Linked DNA regions of Tribolium castaneum. The protein of the gene in region 1 purifies or fractionates together with the protein of each later gene. This does not show direct contact. Links are inferred from orthologs where the notes say so. Each region holds a gene or a part of one and is shown in the gene's direction. Other genes may lie near its edges. The genes, in order: pea, crn, NKAP family protein CG6066, cyp33 and nudC domain-containing protein 1.

What was found.
Region 2: the proteins of pea (region 1) and crn purify together in Homo sapiens (affinity purification with mass spectrometry; 3 studies listed by BioGRID and IntAct, counting the BioPlex papers as one, with this or other methods). This does not show direct contact. The link is inferred for Tribolium castaneum from reciprocal best matches to the Homo sapiens genes DHX8 and CRNKL1.
Region 3: the proteins of pea (region 1) and NKAP family protein CG6066 purify together in Homo sapiens (co-immunoprecipitation; 3 studies listed by BioGRID and IntAct, with this or other methods). This does not show direct contact. The link is inferred for Tribolium castaneum from reciprocal best matches to the Homo sapiens genes DHX8 and NKAP.
Region 4: the proteins of pea (region 1) and cyp33 purify together in Homo sapiens (affinity purification with mass spectrometry; 3 studies listed by BioGRID and IntAct, counting the BioPlex papers as one, with this or other methods). This does not show direct contact. The link is inferred for Tribolium castaneum from reciprocal best matches to the Homo sapiens genes DHX8 and PPIE.
Region 5: the proteins of pea (region 1) and nudC domain-containing protein 1 purify together in Homo sapiens (affinity purification with mass spectrometry; 3 studies listed by BioGRID and IntAct, counting the BioPlex papers as one, with this or other methods). This does not show direct contact. The link is inferred for Tribolium castaneum from reciprocal best matches to the Homo sapiens genes DHX8 and NUDCD1.

Annotation. Positions count from the first base shown.
Region 1 is NC_087395.1:23,611,241-23,613,606, reverse strand, and holds the end of pea (ATP-dependent RNA helicase DHX8), read left to right. Parts: coding exon 1-478; intron 479-780; coding exon 781-1,286; intron 1,287-1,605; coding exon 1,606-1,828; 3' UTR 1,829-1,861; downstream 1,862-2,366. Other genes in the region: rswl (mitochondrial ribonuclease P protein 1 homolog), read right to left, coding at 1,870-2,366.
Region 2 is NC_087400.1:96,381-100,347, reverse strand, and holds crn (protein crooked neck), read left to right. Parts: upstream 1-1,260; 5' UTR 1,261-1,358; coding exon 1,359-1,397; intron 1,398-1,451; coding exon 1,452-3,428; 3' UTR 3,429-3,456; downstream 3,457-3,967. Other genes in the region: Nle (notchless), read left to right, coding at 1-1,054; protein OPI10 homolog, read right to left, coding at 3,670-3,967. UniProt on the Homo sapiens protein: Involved in pre-mRNA splicing process. As a component of the minor spliceosome, involved in the splicing of U12-type introns in pre-mRNAs.
Region 3 is NC_087400.1:4,954,135-4,957,193, reverse strand, and holds NKAP family protein CG6066, read left to right. Parts: upstream 1-1,503; 5' UTR 1,504-1,595; coding exon 1,596-2,495; 3' UTR 2,496-2,548; downstream 2,549-3,059. Other genes in the region: waprin-Rha1, read left to right, coding at 985-1,210, 1,258-1,400. UniProt on the Homo sapiens protein: Acts as a transcriptional repressor. Plays a role as a transcriptional corepressor of the Notch-mediated signaling required for T-cell development. Also involved in the TNF and IL-1 induced NF-kappa-B activation.
Region 4 is NC_087394.1:24,073,919-24,078,234, reverse strand, and holds cyp33 (peptidyl-prolyl cis-trans isomerase E), read left to right. Parts: upstream 1-1,515; coding exon 1,516-1,719; intron 1,720-1,766; coding exon 1,767-1,946; intron 1,947-1,995; coding exon 1,996-2,202; intron 2,203-3,545; coding exon 3,546-3,863; 3' UTR 3,864-3,925; downstream 3,926-4,316. Other genes in the region: palmitoyltransferase ZDHHC8, read right to left, coding at 1-61, 205-399, 468-640, 692-849, 894-1,012, 1,072-1,163. UniProt on the Homo sapiens protein: Involved in pre-mRNA splicing as component of the spliceosome. Combines RNA-binding and PPIase activities.
Region 5 is NC_087394.1:22,049,159-22,053,316, forward strand, and holds the start of nudC domain-containing protein 1, read left to right. Parts: upstream 1-1,345; coding exon 1,346-2,773; intron 2,774-4,158. Other genes in the region: protein IMPACT-B, read right to left, coding at 405-602, 657-890, 948-1,189.

The DNA of each region.
Region 1 (2,366 bases):
GCAAACCCGGATTTTTGAACCGGCGCCCCCCGGAAGCCGGAAAGTTGTCATCGCGACAAATATAGCAGAGACTTCGTTGACCATTGATGGGATTTTTTACGTTGTCGATCCCGGTTTTGTCAAACAGAAAGTTTATAATTCTAAAACTGGGATGGACTCGTTGGTGGTCACGCCCATTTCGCAGGCACAAGCCAAGCAAAGGGCGGGGCGTGCCGGGCGGACGGGGCCTGGGAAATGCTATAGGTTGTACACGGAGAGGGCGTATCGTGATGAGATGCTGCCCACTCCTGTTCCGGAGATACAAAGGACCAATTTGGCAACGACTGTCTTACAGTTGAAAACAATGGGGATTAATGATTTGCTACATTTTGATTTTATGGACGCTCCGCCTGTTGAATCGCTGATTATGGCCTTAGAGCAGTTGCACTCGTTGTCGGCGTTGGATGATGAGGGGCTTCTTACGCGATTAGGGCGGAGGGTAAGTGATTTGGGGGAAAAACACGTTTGGTTTTTCCTAGCTACCGTGGGGGCAATACTGTACGATTCAATTTTATTTTTAATTTTCACATTATAATCATTGTACCTCAATCACTTTCACTTAAATTTATAAGATAAGTTCATATGACCTTCTAGATTATTATTCGCAAATTGTGTATTTCTTTGTGTCACTTTTTTTGGATTCTTATTTATATTTTTAGAAATAAATTGCATATTCAGTACACTGCCCCCTCGCTAGCCAGTCAATACGTCAATTTTTAATTCATAACAAAATTTCAACAGATGGCTGAGTTTCCTCTGGAACCCAACCTATCAAAAATGCTGATTATGTCCGTGGCCCTTCAATGTTCCGACGAGATTTTGACAATTGTGAGCATGTTGTCGGTTCAAAATGTCTTTTATCGTCCCAAGGACAAGCAAGCGATCGCCGATCAGAAAAAGGCCAAATTTAACCAACCAGAAGGCGACCACTTGACACTTTTGGCCGTTTATAACAGTTGGAAAAATAATAAATTTTCGAATGCGTGGTGTTACGAAAATTTCGTACAAATAAGGACGTTAAAACGGGCACAAGATGTTCGTAAACAATTGTTAGGGATTATGGATAGGCACAAGTTGGATGTCGTATCGGCTGAAAGAAATACAGTGAGGGTGCAGAAGTGTGTGTGTTCGGGATTTTTCAGGAATGCAGCGAAAAAGGATCCACAGGAGGGGTACAGGACGCTGGTGGATAGCCAAGTGGTTTATATACACCCCTCGAGCGCCCTCTTCAACAGACAACCAGAGTGGTAAGCTTTAAAGAGATTATTTATTTGGGGTTGTTTTTCTCAAAAATAATGGAGATAATTAAGTTTCTTCTTGAAAAAAGTATGCAACTGCTTGAAAAAAGCAAAAAGAAATTCATTTTTGACAGTTTCATTACTGAAACAATTAAATAACACCTTTTTTGAAATTATTTTAGTTATTTTTGATAAAAGCTCGCGTTTAGGGCTGTAAAAACCTAATAAAACTTTTGAAGAGGCTAAAAGGACATTACTTTCGGCTTAGTTTCGCGAAAAACCGAGTGGTTTTATTTTTTATAATTTTTTGTCTATGTGCGTTTTCAAGGGTGATCTACCACGAACTGGTGCAGACCACGAAGGAATACATGCGCGAAGTGACCACAATCGACCCAAAATGGCTCGTGGAGTTCGCCCCCGCTTTCTTCAAATTCTCAGATCCGACAAAACTGAGCAAATTTAAGAAAAACCAACGTTTGGAGCCACTTTACAACAAATACGAGGAACCGAACGCTTGGCGAATATCGCGAGTTAGGAGGCGGCGTAATTAGGCATAGTTAGGTGTAAATAAAAAATTAATAATCTACTGTGTTTAATTTTCATCATACATGATACTCCTAACTTCTACTCTCCTATCCTTCCTGGATAAATCCAGTTTCTTGCCTGGCTTCCAGAACCTGCTTTTGAAGGATTTCTGTTCTTTTTGGTCGGTCATTTGGATGATTTTCCGTCTGGGGACGTGCCTCAGAGCGTATTCCCAGTCGCCGGTGTGCTTAACGTCCAACAAAATTGCCACACATTGATTTAAAGTGAGGCTTTTGCCCGAACCGGAGCCCCATTGGAGGTAGCGGTCAAGGGGCAGTTTGGCCATTCTCAGCCCCTCACGCTTGGCCTTGGCCAGGGATAAGGGCTGAGTGTTGACCTTGTCGACAATTGCGCCGATAATGTAGATGGCGTCATGGTCATACTTCACCAGTTCTTCCCGGCAATGAGGGGTTAAATAAACCAACTGTTCCCTCGGGAATTTTTCCAAATAACTGGTTTCGTGCACGTTGAGGGGGAACCAAGGTTCGTGCAACGTTGCAATAT
Region 2 (3,967 bases), on another chromosome or scaffold:
ACACCTAGCGAGTGGTTCTGGCGATACAACCGTTCGGTTCTGGGACGTGGACACCCAGACACCTTTTAAGACATGTAAAGGGCACACGAACTGGGTGTTGTGCATTGCGTGGGCCCCCAATGGGCGTAAACTAGCTTCGGCGTGTAAAGACGGCAAGGTGGTGGTATGGAACCCCGAAAATGGGGCCCAGATTGGTAAAACTCTAATTGGGCATAAATCATGGGTCACGGCCCTGAGTTGGGAACCCTACCACCAAAACGCCGAGTGTCGCTTTCTAGCCTCGGCGAGTAAAGATTGTGACGTCAGGATTTGGGATACGGTCCTGTGTTCTTGTACTAGGGTTATTTCTGGGCATTTGAAAAGTGTGACTGTGGTCAAGTGGGGCGGTCTGGGGCTCCTTTATACGGCTTCGCAGGACCGGACTGTTAAAGTTTGGAGGGCTAAAGACGGTGTGTTGTGTCGTACGTTAGAAGGGCACGGTCATTGGGTCAACACTTTGGCCCTCAACACTGATTATATCCTCAAATTGGGGGCGTTTGACCCAGTCAAAGACACCCAAATCCAATCACAAGACTTCGTCCTGCGTCGTTACAACGAAATCGTTAACCCTATCGGTGATGAAAGACTCGTCTCGGGCTCCGATGATTTCACTTTGTTTTTGTGGGCCCCCTCAAAAGACAAGAAGCCGTTAAATCGGCTCACGGGGCACCAACAATTAGTTAACGATGTGAAATTTTCACCAGATGGTCGCATTTTTGCCTCGGCTTCGTTTGATAAGAGTATTAAATTATGGGAGGCCAAAAGTGGTAAATTTATTTGTACGTTAAGGGGGCACGTACAGGCTGTTTATGTGATTTCGTTTTCGGCCGATTCTAGACTTTTAGTGAGTGGAAGTGCCGATTCAACACTCAAATTGTGGAATTTGAGGGAGAAGAAATTGGAAATTGATCTGCCAGGTCATGGGGATGAGGTCTATGCGCTTGATTGGGCCTCAGATGGCTCCAAAGTGGCCTCGGGGGGTAAAGACAAAGTCTTAAAGTTGTGGCAAAATTAAATGCAATAAAATTTTGTAATTTTTCTCGAATTTTATTTAAAAAAAAAACAGAAAACTGTAATTGTGCGCGACATGTGGCGTCACCAGTGCAAATCTACAAATCCAATAATACAAAAACTGGCTTGCGGAGTTTAATTACTTACGTAAATTATTGTTTAATCTATATTACAACAAACAAACACTCGATCAAAATTTAAGGCACGATATTTCACAATTTGTGTGGTCCAAACATAACCACAAAAAATCGTAAGGTTATGTTCGTGTTTGTTTGTTGTGCTACAAGTTGGTAAAAGTCGCCCCTGAGATGGAAACCAAGCCGCAAAAGATGCCCAAAGTGGCCAAGGTACGTTATTTACCTTCTCTTTCAACTTAATAACTAACTAAAATAATTTTCCAGGTGAAAAATAAAGCCCCTGCTGAGATCCAAATCACAGCCGAGCAGCTCCTTCGCGAGGCAAAAGAGCGCGACCTTGAGATTCTCCCTCCGCCCCCTAAGCAAAAAATCTCCGATCCAGCTGAACTTGCCGACTACCAACTCAGACGCCGTAAACAATTCGAAGACAACATACGAAAAAATCGAACTGTTATCTCCAATTGGATTAAATATGCCCATTGGGAAGAATCGCAAAAGGAAATCCAACGAGCTCGTTCGATATTTGAACGTGCCTTGGATGTGGACCATCGTAACGTTACCATTTGGTTAAAATACACTGAAATGGAGATGCGAAACCGTCAAGTGAACCATGCTAGAAATTTATGGGACAGAGCCGTCACGATTTTGCCCAGAATCAACCAGTTTTGGTACAAATACACCTACATGGAGGAGATGTTGGAGAATGTGGCTGGGGCCAGAGCTGTCTTTGAACGCTGGATGGAGTGGCAGCCGGAGGAACAAGCCTGGCAAACGTACATCAATTTTGAGTTAAGATACAAAGAAATCGACCGTGCGCGAGAAATCTACGAACGCTTTGTTATAACACATCCCGAAGTCAAACACTGGATTAAATACGCCCGATTTGAAGAAAATCACGGTTTTATCAACTCGGCCCGCTTGATTTACGAACGAGCTGTACATTTTTACGGTGATGACCATTTGGACGAAAAATTGTATATTGCATTTGCACGGTTTGAAGAAAACCAAAAAGAACATGACCGTGCTCGCGTTATCTACAAGTATGCCTTGGACCATCTCCCCAAAGAACAAGCGAAAGAGCTGTACAAAGCCTACACCATACATGAGAAAAAGTACGGCGATCGTTCCGGTATTGAAGATGTGATTGTTTCGAAACGTAAGTTTCAATACGAACAAGAGATACTCGAAAATCCGACCAATTACGACGCTTGGTTTGACTATTTGAGACTGGTGGAGGGGGAAGGGGACCTTGAGACGTCACGTGAGACGTATGAGCGGGCCATAGCCAACGTGCCACCAACGAAAAATAAACAATACTGGAGGCGTTATATTTACTTGTGGATTAATTACGCCCTGTTTGAGGAAATCGAAGCGGTTGATTATGAAAGAACACGTCAGGTTTATAAAGCTTGCCTTGACTTGATCCCCCATAAGTTATTCACGTTTAGTAAAATTTGGTTGTTGTTTGCACAGTTTGAAATCAGGCGGAAGAATCTGATTGGTGCTCGTAAAATTTTGGGGACTGCCATTGGTAAATGCCCACGTGATAAATTGTTCCGTGGGTATATTGATATAGAGATACAGTTGCGTGAGTTTGACCGGTGTCGTATTTTGTACGGGAAATATCTAGAGTTTGGTCCGGAAAATTGTGTGACTTGGATGAAATTTGCCGAGTTGGAGACACTTTTGGGGGATTTTGAGCGTGCTAGGGCCATTTATGAGTTGGCAATCGCTCAGCCAAGGCTAGACATGCCTGAGCTGCTCTGGAAGGCCTATATCGATTTTGAGATCGGGCAAGAAGAGTGGGCTAATGCCCGACAATTGTACGAAAGATTGTTGGAGAGGACAAGTCATGTGAAAGTTTGGTTGTCGTATGCGAAGTTTGAGTTGAGTTGTGAGTCGGATATGAATATTAGTTTGGCAAGGCGTGTTTATGAGCGGGCTAATGAGAGTTTGAAGAGTTATGGGGAGAAGGAGGCGAGGGTTTTGTTATTGGAGAATTGGAAGGAGTTTGAAAGTGCAAATGGGAGCGAGGAGACGAAGGAGAAAGTTGAAGGGAAAATGCCAAGGAGGATTAAGAAGAGAAGGAAGGTTATTGATGAGGATGGTGTTGAGCAAGGATGGGAGGAGATCTTTGATTATATATTCCCTGAGGATGAGGCCAGTAAACCCAATTTGAAGTTATTGGCAGCTGCCAAAAGCTGGAAGAAGCAGAAGCAAACGGAAGAACCGGAACCGTGATTTTGAGAAAATAGAATTAAGGTTTAAATTTTGTTTTATTCCCCTTTTGTCACTTATCCAAGCGCTATCTGGTCAACGATTTTGCACTGCAACAATTAATTTTTTGTGGGCAAATGATAAGATAATAAAAAAATCGATACTTTATTCATTTAAATACATTAAAAGCGAGTGAGTTTTGAGACTTAACAGCCGCCATAATCCAGCTTTGATGAACACAAGACACACGTATGCACACATTCCTCTACGTTTTCCAAAAATTGGGGTTTTGTTGCAACCGTCGTTCAAAATTCGTGTACCAGTTCTGTACTGTAGCCAACGGAACGTACGTGGCCGTGGGATCTGGGACCATTTGCGGTTGCGTCACCGTATAACTCAGCACAAAATTCATAAAATTCTCCAACATTTTCTGAGCAAACGTGACATTATTACTGGGATTATTCGCCGATTCGATTTCCCGAATATTCGCCAGCGGCTCAATAGCGATCCCTATTTGCGCATTGTGTACGATGTGACTTTGCCCGAATAAAATATTCATCGAG
Region 3 (3,059 bases), on another chromosome or scaffold:
TAGCTGTTTGCAATACTAGTTTCCTTCCAAAAGTTCGAGGTTGAGTTGCTTTCTGAGTCAAGGAACGATTAAAGTGGATCAAAGAATAAAAAACAATTTTAAGAAATGGCGTTAAAAAGAAAAAGAAAAAAATATGCATTTAAATTTTTTTTATCTAAATAATATAGTAATAAAAACAATTTTTTTCGGTCGTTTTATAATTTATAATCATACCTTGCATTTTTTATACAGCGTTGGCGGAAGTATAGAACCAAGCGTTTTCAAAAATTGTTTTTTTCGAAATTTTTGTTTGTTATTGATTACGTGTATAATACACGTATTAATAAATTTTTTGAAAAATTCAAATAAGAAAAAATTTACCAATCGACCATTTTATTATATTGAGTAAGATAAAAAAATAACTAAATCAAATATAAATATAAATATAAATAAATATAAGAGATTTTTTAAATGTTTCTTTTTAAATAAAAATTGACCTGTCTCAAAAATTTTATTTTTTTTGTTTTTTTTTACTAAGATATTTAAGGTGGCTTGTTTTTAAACTAAATGTGAATTTTGTTGTTATACTTTTGGTTCAATCTGTTTACAGTCTTAAACGTGAAACTGTATAACGATTGAAATAGTGTGACTTCTCTGATAAAACTTTACTCACAGCAGACGCTTTTCTGACTGAAAACGCGATGAAACGCTCAAAAAACTAAAATTTTTGACCTAATTTTGTTTAGCAGCAGGAATTGAAGAAAAAAACAGTAGTAAATTAATACAAGTATAATAAAAATGGGTAATTTTTAATACATTTTTTCTATTTTTGTAGATTTCAACCAATTACTAAATTGCGCAAACCGCAGTGGAACCCCACATCCGCCCTAAATCCGCACACTTAATCAAAATTTCAATTTGTCGTTTTGTGGTTTCCGTTTCTTCGACTCTTGCACCTACACAACATCCAATTCCATTCATCTTAAAGCCCTACAAGTGTTAACAATGCAGGCAAAACTTTTCTTAATCCTTTCCCTTCTAACTGTTTTTGTGTACGGCCAAAGGCCTCGAACAAAATCGGGAGACTGCCCCCCGTACCCCAACGTGGGGATCTGTGAAGTGGCCTGTTTCGAAGACAACCACTGTGCCGGCCATTTCAAATGCTGCCGGACGGCTTGTGGCGGCACTTTTTGTACGGCCCCTGTAACAACGAGGCGAATTCAAAGAGGAGGTGAAATGGATACAATTTTTTTTAAAGAAAATTAATTTGTGTTTTAGAGAAACAAGGGTCTTGTCCAGTTGCACCGTCAGGCCCTTGGGTGTGCTCCAGCAGGTGTGCCCTAGACTCGGACTGCAGGGGGGCTAAAAAGTGCTGCAGGAATCGGTGCGGGGCCATGGCTTGCACCAAACCCGAATTTTAATCAGTTACAATTGTAGTATCGTTGTATGAATAAAAATTAGCAAATCGACGCATTTTGTGTTTTATTTATTTCCTTAAAATTTGAAATGGTTTGAGCAAATGTCAATTCTAGCTTATGGGAATGACGTAAAGTGACTTCAGTTTGACAGTTTTTTTTAAAGGTTATGTTATTGTAAAAAAATTGATTTTTTACGAAATGATGGATGTGGCAAAACACAGACGCAGTCGGTCCCGTTCCCCGGACCACCGGAGACACAAAACTGATAGATCGTTTAAAAATGATCGTAATAGGAGACACAGGTCCAGGTCTCATTCCAGGTCAAGAGACCGCCATTCCAGCAGACGCAGGTCTAGATCCAGAGGCACCACAACAAACGGTTTTGAACGAAACGACAAATATGAAGTCACAAAGAAAAAACACCTTGAGGACGAGTTCATGGAGTCCCGACGCCAGGAGCGTGAGATCCTCGGAATGAGGGATTACCCCAGCATTTGGGGCCAATCCCCCGAACCCGAAGACTCCGACAGTGACGTCGAAGACGTCACCAAGAACGCCCCCAAGCTAAAAAAACGGAAGAAGGAAAAGAAAAAATCCCACAAGAAGCATAAAAAGAAGAAGAAAAAGAAGAAGTCTTCAAGTGAGAGCAGTTCAGGGGAGGAAGAGTGGGTCGAGAAGACCACAACCACCAACAAACCCCAAACCAATGCGGAAGAGACCGAAGAGGTGATCGTCGGCCCCATTTTGAAGCCCCATGCCGCCCTGACTCACAAGGAAATGGGCAAGGCTTTGCTCCCTGGTGAGGGGGCTGCCATGGCTGCGTACGTCGCCGAAGGAAAACGGATACCAAGAAGAGGTGAAATTGGACTCACGTCTGAAGAAATTGAAAGTTTTGAAGCCGTGGGTTATGTCATGTCCGGCTCAAGACACAGGAGAATGGAGGCTGTGAGGATACGGAAAGAAAACCAGATTTATTCAGCTGATGAGAAGCGGGCTTTGGCCATGTTCAGCAAAGAAGAACGGCAGAAGAGGGAGAACAGGATTTTGGGACAGTTCAGGGAAATGGTCAACTCCAAACTGGCCGAAAAGAAAAATTAATTTCGTAGAATTGAGTGTTTATTACGTATAAATAAAGTTTTTTTATTACTTAATTTGTTTTACATTGTTGTACCCAACCGGTCCATCCCCCAGGGAAATGTTTGGCGCTGAAAATTGAACTTAAATTTCGGGTCAAAGTGGCCTATGATTTCGAATTAAGTTGGCAACATCTAGTTGCCAACTAAATTTAAAAATCACAGGCGACTTTAATTAAAGACGGAACAAAACGAATGTTTTACTTTACGTATCCCAGATTTTTGGCTAAATCTAGCGCAGCTCGGCTCCGCCGCCCCGACTGACAACTGAAAACTAAAGGCGTGGTGTTTGTAGGCTTTTCTCTTCGGAAAACTTGACGAAATTGTTCATCACTTGTGTTCTGCAGCGTTTCTTCTAAAGTGGCCACTTGAAATGAAGTACTTTGCAGTTAATTCATAAGTTAATTAGGGTATTTACAAGGTATATTGATGCTTCCAGGAATTGTTCCAGTTTGCGCTAATTCCGACGGGTTCCTCACATCAATTAGAAGAACCTGTCTGTTGTCTTTTAGGCTTCTAACGTAGTCAA
Region 4 (4,316 bases), on another chromosome or scaffold:
CGCGATGGGGCCATGGGGGCAGTGCTTGCGCTTCACGTTGTACTTGTGGGGCTTTATGAGACTGAAACATGAATCGTTTGACAGATTTGACAAAATAAATTAATTGGTCGTTGACAGATTATCTCAAAATTCCACAGCATGCTTTGCTAAAAAACTGTTTTCCAATTTTCGGGGGATTAACAGCTGATTAAATAGTGTTATCACCTTGGGAATTGGGGCCCAAACTGCGTGTAGCAGCAGTTGTCCCAGCAGCCCCTCGAGAAGGGGTTGTAACCGCCCTTAAATTTCCCCGTGACTTGTTCATTGGTGGTCCTTCCTCTCGAGACCAAAACCATATGAAACCCTGTTAAGCCAAAAATTGGTATAGCTAACAAAGCCACCAAACCCATTAAGACAAAACTGGGAAAAATTAAGGTAAAATTAGCTAGAATGTTGAAAATTCGTAACAAAAAAATCGAAAAGGATACGCAATAATTGGTTCAGCGTTGGAGAAAGTATCACCATATTTGAGGATGTAAATTAGGCTTAAAGTAAATATACTGATCATGTGTAAGCTAAGTGAGATGAGAAAGAAAAAGAAAAATCGGTAATTTCTTCTCCCAATGCAATTATTGACCCATGGACAGTGGTGGTCAAAAGTCTGTAAAAAATCGGGGATTTACCAATTTTTTCAACCAATTCCACAACTCACTTCTATACAGTGGTTACAAACACTACAATGTGAACATCTCGGTGGTCTGTAGAACTTGCACGTGACGCACCATTTCATCCGCACCGTAATCCCGTTGATCTCCACGTTCTTGTACAAGGGGGCCCTGAAATCGTCCTCGCGGTCTTCATCAGGAGGGGCTAAAAACCAGCTCAATTAGCGCTACAAGGGGGTTGTTACGCACCTTTTGGTATGACCCCCGGGTCCATGAACGTAGCGAGGGTGAAATTGGCGAGGACGAAGAACGTGATCACTCCTTGGTACGCGGGCACCCATGGATAATCCTCTAAGTAGTATCGGGCTCTAACAAGCGTAACGTTTGCCTAAATTTGGTAACATAAACACTGACAGGAATAACTCACGGGTAGTAGAAGAACAACGTTGTGGCTACCAACAGTAAAGTCCAAGCAAAAGTCGCTGGTATGTATCTAGTTTTAACATCGCACTTGGGCATAATGTTTTTTTACTCAAGATCTCGCGCAAAACTCGAATTTTCGCCTCAGACAGGCCAACATGGCTGAGACAAACGGGAGAAGTTATCGTTCGTTGCCCCTGTCAAACTCATCTGACACTTGACAAAATCGGGGGAAAAGAAATTCCCCAAGTCGCACACTTTTATATCGATTTTTCACATTAATTACTTGAATTGAAACGGACGGCAGTGCTCAAGTAGTAATTAAAATGCCATTAATTTACGTTTTTACGTAAAAATCCAATGATGGTTAAACACTTGATAGTTGCGCAGGCGCGTTAAGGGTGTCAAAGGTTTCGCACAAAAGTGAGGTTGTGTCAATGTTTTTTGAAAAATGAGCACCGGTTCCAAACGCACTATTTACGTCGGGGGGCTCGCCGAAGAAGTCGACGATAAAGTCCTGAACGCGGCTTTTATCCCCTTTGGTGACATTGTCGACATTCAGATCCCTCTGGACTATGAGACGGAAAAGCACAGGGGGTTCGCTTTCATCGAGTTTGAGAGTGCGGAAGACGCGGCTGCAGCAATCGACAATATGGTAACACCAAAGTTAAATAATGGACAATTTTTAAATATCAGTTTTAGAATGATTCTGAGCTTTTTGGTAGAACCATCAGAGTCAATTTAGCCAAACCACAGCGAATTAAAGAGGGTTCGACACGGCCTGTTTGGTCTGAAGACACCTGGCTTCAGCAGCACGCAGGCGAGACAATCGGCAAGACTATTAATGATCCTGATGATGGAACTAAAGAGGCAACAGATAACGTAAAAATTTCTCTTGATTTTTTGATTTTTTTGAGCAATTTTTTCCCAGGATGCTGACAAAAGTGACAGCAAAAAAGTCAAAAACCCTCAAGTTTACTTCGACATTAAGATTGGCAAGACTGAAGTCGGTAGAATAACAATGCTGTTGAGGGCTGATGTGGTCCCCAGAACTGCAGAAAATTTTAGGTGTTTATGCACCCATGAAAAGGGTTACGGTTTTCAGGGCTCCACTTTCCATAGAATAATTCCAGACTTTGTATCCTTTTTACCCAAAGAAAAATTATATTGTCAACAAGCCCCATAACTTGTTTATCATAAGAAATATTCACTTTTTCTTTTTTTTCTGGATTATAACTGTGTTTCTGCTACAGATGTTAAAAATATTGCGGTATATTTTAAGATTTCCCAATATTAAAAAAAAAAACTAGTTATGTTTTTTTCAAATAGAACACTTTAAATTTTATTACAGTTTTGGACGTAATCGATTCTGTTTAGTTTTTGAAATAATTTGTTTTTTTCAGTTTTTCAAACTTAAATCTGTATCAACTGTTTAACGCATTGCAATTAGGAACGTAGAAAAATTAAGAAGTTTGTTAAAAGTTGGATAACCTGGAAAAGTTAAATAGAACACCCTATTTTTTGTTTTTGCTTCTTAAAGGTCATTAAATTGTCTAAAAACATAAAGTTTCAAATGCCTAAAGTTAATAACTAAAAATCTATTTTACTTTAAAAATTAATTTCAGCAGCAGTACACATTATTTATGAGCATTGTCGTTACCAGGACTAGGGGTGGGCGATATTAAGATTTAAATATCAATAATCGATACATACCGATATATCGATACACCGATACATATCGAAGATTGGCGAAATATCGATATATTATATTGAAGTATCGATATTTACGATAGAGCGATAAAAACATGGGTATTTATAGATAAATGATAGTACCTAATAAATGTTACTGTTAAATTTAAAAAAGTTGAAATGGTGAAATACTTGTTTTTTTTGTTAAATTTATGTTTAAATTATACAGAAATCATAAAGTTTTGTACTAATGCTAATATTTTTGCAAAAAATGTTCTAACCCGTCGATTTTAAATCGCCGTCTTTTTTGGGTAGGCAATCCTCAACTGTTTTTGGTTTTGATTACATTTTTCAGTTCTCTATTTAACAATTGTACAAAAAATTAAATCTTGTACGATAATTTTTTTTGAGAAGATCTAATTTTTTACGTTTAACTAAAGTTAAACGATAATAACGAAATTTGTCGGAATATTGATAATAAATTATCGATAGTTATCGGCATGTGGTGTATCGACAGTTTTAGATAATTATCGATATGTCTATATATATTGATATATCGATCTTTTTATCGATATATCGGTAAAAATTCCTAGCCCTAACCCTGACTACCTCAATATTTTCAAAATATGCAGCAGAAACGCAGCTGTAAGCTAAAAAAGGAAAAATCAATATGTCTAATAATAAAAAAATTTTGGAGCCTTTTCGGCTCGCTGGGACCTGTTTATTAAAGAGGGCTACGGCTGTGAAATTAAGTTGCCAACATTACTTGCTAAATTCCTTAATGACGGTTAGATGTGTCAAGGTGGCGATTTTACCAACCACAATGGTACAGGAGGAAAATCAATTTATGGTCGGAAATTTGTTGATGAAAATTTTGAATTGAAACACGTGGGTCCAGGGACTTTATCAATGGCCAATTCGGGACCAAATACCAATGGGTCGCAATTTTTTATTTGCACGGCAAAAACGGATTGGTTGGATGGAAAACACGTGGTTTTTGGGCATGTTATAAGTGGGATGGACGTTGTGAGAAGGATGGAAAGGTGTGGGACCAAGAGTGGGACGCCCACGGAGAAAGTAGTAATAGCAGCGTGTGGAGAAATACAATAAAAAATATTTAAGAATTTTTGATTTTATGTAATGAAAATAATAAAGAACTTACTAAACGTAAATTGTATTTTTATTTACCCAGGAATGTTTTAGGCACTAGTTTTTCGTATTTTAAAAGAGCACAAAAAAAGATTTAAATACTTTAAATAAAATAACAAGAAAATATTTAAATTACCTTTTTAATGTTTGCTACATTACCGACAGCCATATTGCCAAATTAAACTTGTGCAAAAGAATTTGTCTTTATTTATTTACTTTGCCACAAAGATTACATGAAAAGAATAAATGAAACACCTCGCTTTATTCACAAAATAGGTTACAAAAATTGGTATTATTGTGCAAGTTATAAACCTGACGATAAATTATTGAGTTGGCAACTTTGGGTTCTTCAAGTTTGAGGATTGAGGTTACGTTTATCATTGATAGGTTATGTTTGACCGCAGCATGTTTTTA
Region 5 (4,158 bases), on another chromosome or scaffold:
AATAATTCGGTAAAATGCGACGTTGGCGTTTTTATAGATTTGATACAGCTAGTACTTTTCTCAAACATTTGAATTAAAAGCTTTTGTATGAGAGTGAAAAAACTTATACAAACTGCGAAGAGCACATTAAATGTAGATTTGTCGATTATCGAAGATGTAACGTAATAAGTTTATTTTTTCGACAGCAGAATTAACAAAAAAACAAACTTCATTGCTATTGAACAACTTTACCCATTAAGAAACTTCACTTTGCGGTTAAAAAACTAAATGAATAATTATTTTCAGTAGAATAAAGCACACAGACATCTGCTATAGAAAAAAATACATTATGAGCTAGGATTATGAGTTATTATTGTTACCAACGCACCCCATTCGACTCAAACGACATAGAAAAAAACACTCACCATCTAGAAACAACCACCATCACATTGGTTACATTCAAAATTTGTAATAAATGTAAAACACGCCCTCCGGCGTGCGTTTCACCATCGTCATCGCAGTCTTGGAGAATGGTTCCCTGAGAAGTCAAAATTCTATAAGCTGAGATGTTATGAGTTGCTTGAGCAATTTTTTTATTATCAAGTAAAAAATTCATAAATTCTCTATAACAAAAAATTAAATAGAATATCATTCAGTAATTTGGACATGTAAAATACCTTGTCTCTTCTAATGAGTGAACCCGAGCCATGTGACCCTGAAAAACACTTTTTCTGTCTTGTATAATATCCCCATGTATCACTTGTAAAAAAGTTTCCTTCCTGACTTGTTTCTCTTCAACTTCGCCATTTAAAACTTCTGGCTGTGGAGCACTTAAAACTTCTGAACACTCGTCCACAATTTCCTTTAACTTTTCAATCCACTGAAACAGAATAGGGCTTCCCTGGCTACTTCTAAGAAATCATAGTTCAAAAATAATTGTAAGAAGCATAAACACTTCTTGTTCATACTCGTAAATGTTACCAAATTCATCGGAAATTAGCTGCTTCTGCTCTGACGTTAATGTAGGAGCCAATAACTCAAAACTTGGGGGCTTGCTTGACGGATAATCATCATTCAAAGTTATGAATAATTTAACGTTGGGATTAATTTGAATGCTATAACAATTCGTGTCCGTCTCCAGCCGCCAGTTATCATCGTAAATAGATTTCAAAGCTTCAAGTTCCTCACACTGTTCCGCTAAATTATCCATTTTTTTGGAAAACACATTTTAGTTTTGAGGTTATGTTTACACATTTCTGTCATACGTCAGTCATACTTTGACAGTGCGAATTGAGGTTATGATTTTTATTCCAACAATTGTCTTGTAATAATAAATTCAGTGCCACACAGTATTTAATTACACAAGATGCAGTCTCACCCGAAATTAATGGAATTGCGTCCTGATCGATCATTACTGAACTCTGATTTTGACGGTTATAAGTTGTCTTTGGCCGAGATCCCCACAATTAGCGAGCAGTTAAAAGTACCAGTGGACAGATTAGTGCCTGATGTAAATCAGTATTCGTTGCTCCATGCAAAACTCTTTGCTCTTCACAATCATTTGATTAGCGAAAATGATAATGAATCAGTTTATTTTGTTGATAAAGAGTTGAACGTTCAAAAATTTAGCATTGAATCATTGACACACACATTCTGTAAAACAACCGTGTGGACGCTACCTTTACAGAGAGAAAGGAGCTTTGGGGATTACAATATTTCCCTGAAATTTGCCTCAAGTCAGATTGCCGTTGTAGCAGATGGAATGGGCTATCTTTACGTATTAGACAGGGGCTGCAGAGACATTGACGATAAATGGAAGATACTCTTTTCTGGGGACGTGACAGGTCCTGATCAGAAGTTTGTTGTAACTGATGTGGTTTTTAAAGAGGCCCCAAAACCACATTTGCATTTATTACTAACCAGTATAAGACAGAGGGAAGCGAATGAGAGAAATTCAACAATTTTGCACTGGATAACTTTGGAAAAAAGCGATTCGTGGAACCAAGTGGCTTTGAGGGAACTAACAGTTAAAGGCTTCGTCCAGTACGCAAATTTCGAACGCACTTGTGACGCAGTTTACGTAATCAGCGATGATGGTTGCAAATTCACCCTGGATTCGGAAAATGAAATCAAAAAAGCCGAAGAAATTCAAGTTGAAAAGAAATACAAGTGGAGCCAAACCAGTGAAGATTTGACCATTAAATTTCCACTTCCTGAAAATTTTAAGAAAAATTTAGTCCACGTAACCACCGAACCAACCCACATCTCGGTCAAATACGAAAATGAGACTCTCCTAACCGGCAAATTGTATCACCAAATAGACCCTGATGTGACCTGTTGGACCATTGAGTCAAGCACTCTCGTCCTAACTTTACAAAAGTGTGAATCCGGCCTTATGTGGCCAGAAATCGTCGAAGGTGGCTACGTTTTTGGCGAATATTTGCCAGATCCGGCTTTAGTTAGCGAAATTGCGGCGAGATTGGCCCCACTTACGAGCGATACCGAGATGGGGCCGCCCACAGGGACCACTTTCAACAGCCAACAAGTGGAAGAGTGTGACTTTGAGTGCGATAAATTGACTGTGTTTGAACGAATTTCGCGCGATTCGCATGAGGTCACCCATAAAATCAACTTGGGGTCACATCAAGTCCTGCTAAGTGTTGGGTTGGAAGAGAACCAGCCGTTGGCTGTAGGGATCCGAAGTGATGTTGATACGTGTATCTGGCAGCCGACTAATGAAAATGAGTTTCGATTGGTTCATAAGGGTACTTTGCTAGCGCTGGGTTATATTCAGGTGAGTTAAGATATATGGAGGACTAAAACTAAGTGGCGAAACGAATTTGAAAATCACCCAATTTAACCGACTCGGCTCCAAATTGATTAAGTTAATTTAAATTTATGACTTGCTCAAAAATACTTGTTTAAAAAAATTGCAGGAATGTTGGCTTTTAGTTTTTAATCAGCTGTACAAAACTCACGGCTATTATTTTCAAAAGTAATTTTTTTTATCGAGCATTTCACAAAATTTACATATTTAATGTAAAATTGTAAAGCGTGGTAAATACAAACAAACTCTACAATTTAACAAATACAGATTTACTAATCGATATTCCTAATTACAAAAAATGTTTTTTTAAGGTAGCTAAACGTCGTCAGATTTAAATTGGCAAAACCAGCATATTTTCATTAAATACGTTAACTTAATAATTTAGTAGTGCATTGATGACCTTTTGTTTTTCTCAATCACTTTAAGCTTAAAAGTATCTTCAAAATCAAACTAGAGCAAGAAATCAAGAAATGTTTTTATTAATTTTAGTAAAATATATGAGGCATTTGAGAACACTTTTGAAAAGTAAATTCTTTTAATAAATAGATGTATTTTATTTAATTTTTAGTGTTTCGACTGATACGTGTATAAGTTTTTTAAGGCAAATTTTTACTAAACAACAGGGAAGTTTTATAAGGTGTTAAATAAATTGGTACTTGACCAAATCGCACATAAGAATTAAATACATTTTAATAACATATAGTATAAAAAAAATCACACATAATACGTATACGTGTATAAGTAACTTAACTAAGTTACTAATTAGTAATTTAAAATGTTGTGAAGTAAATATGGTCTCTTAAATTGTCTATAAAGCTCTGCTTTAATTCTAAAGAGAAAATTATAATACAATTTAATTTTTTGAGATATCATAAACTTCTAACGAAAAGCACAATTGATCGAACAGTGATTTTAGAATATGGATTGTAATTTAGTTTTTTATTTTAACCTTTTCATGAACGTTATTCACTTTCGGTCTTTCTTTTATACAGAGTCAGTTTAAAGTAACACATAAAATTCGTAATTCTTTTAATTTTAAAAAATAAGACAATGCAAAAACAGGTAAGTTAGCATTTTAATTGAGCTTAAATTTGACCTGACTGCATCAGTCATGGCGGACAATATGGCGGCACCATGACGTCATCACAGAATTTTTAAATGGAACGGTATAATTTTTCTTATAAAATCAGAAGCTCTACTAATAAGTCTTTACAATATGGATGAACCAAACACGTAATTTTTTTTGACATCATCATTATAAAGTGACGTATAAAATTCATATTTCTTTTATTGTTCAAAAATGAAAAAAATGCAGAAACGGGTAACTTAGCATTTTAATTGAGCATAACTGG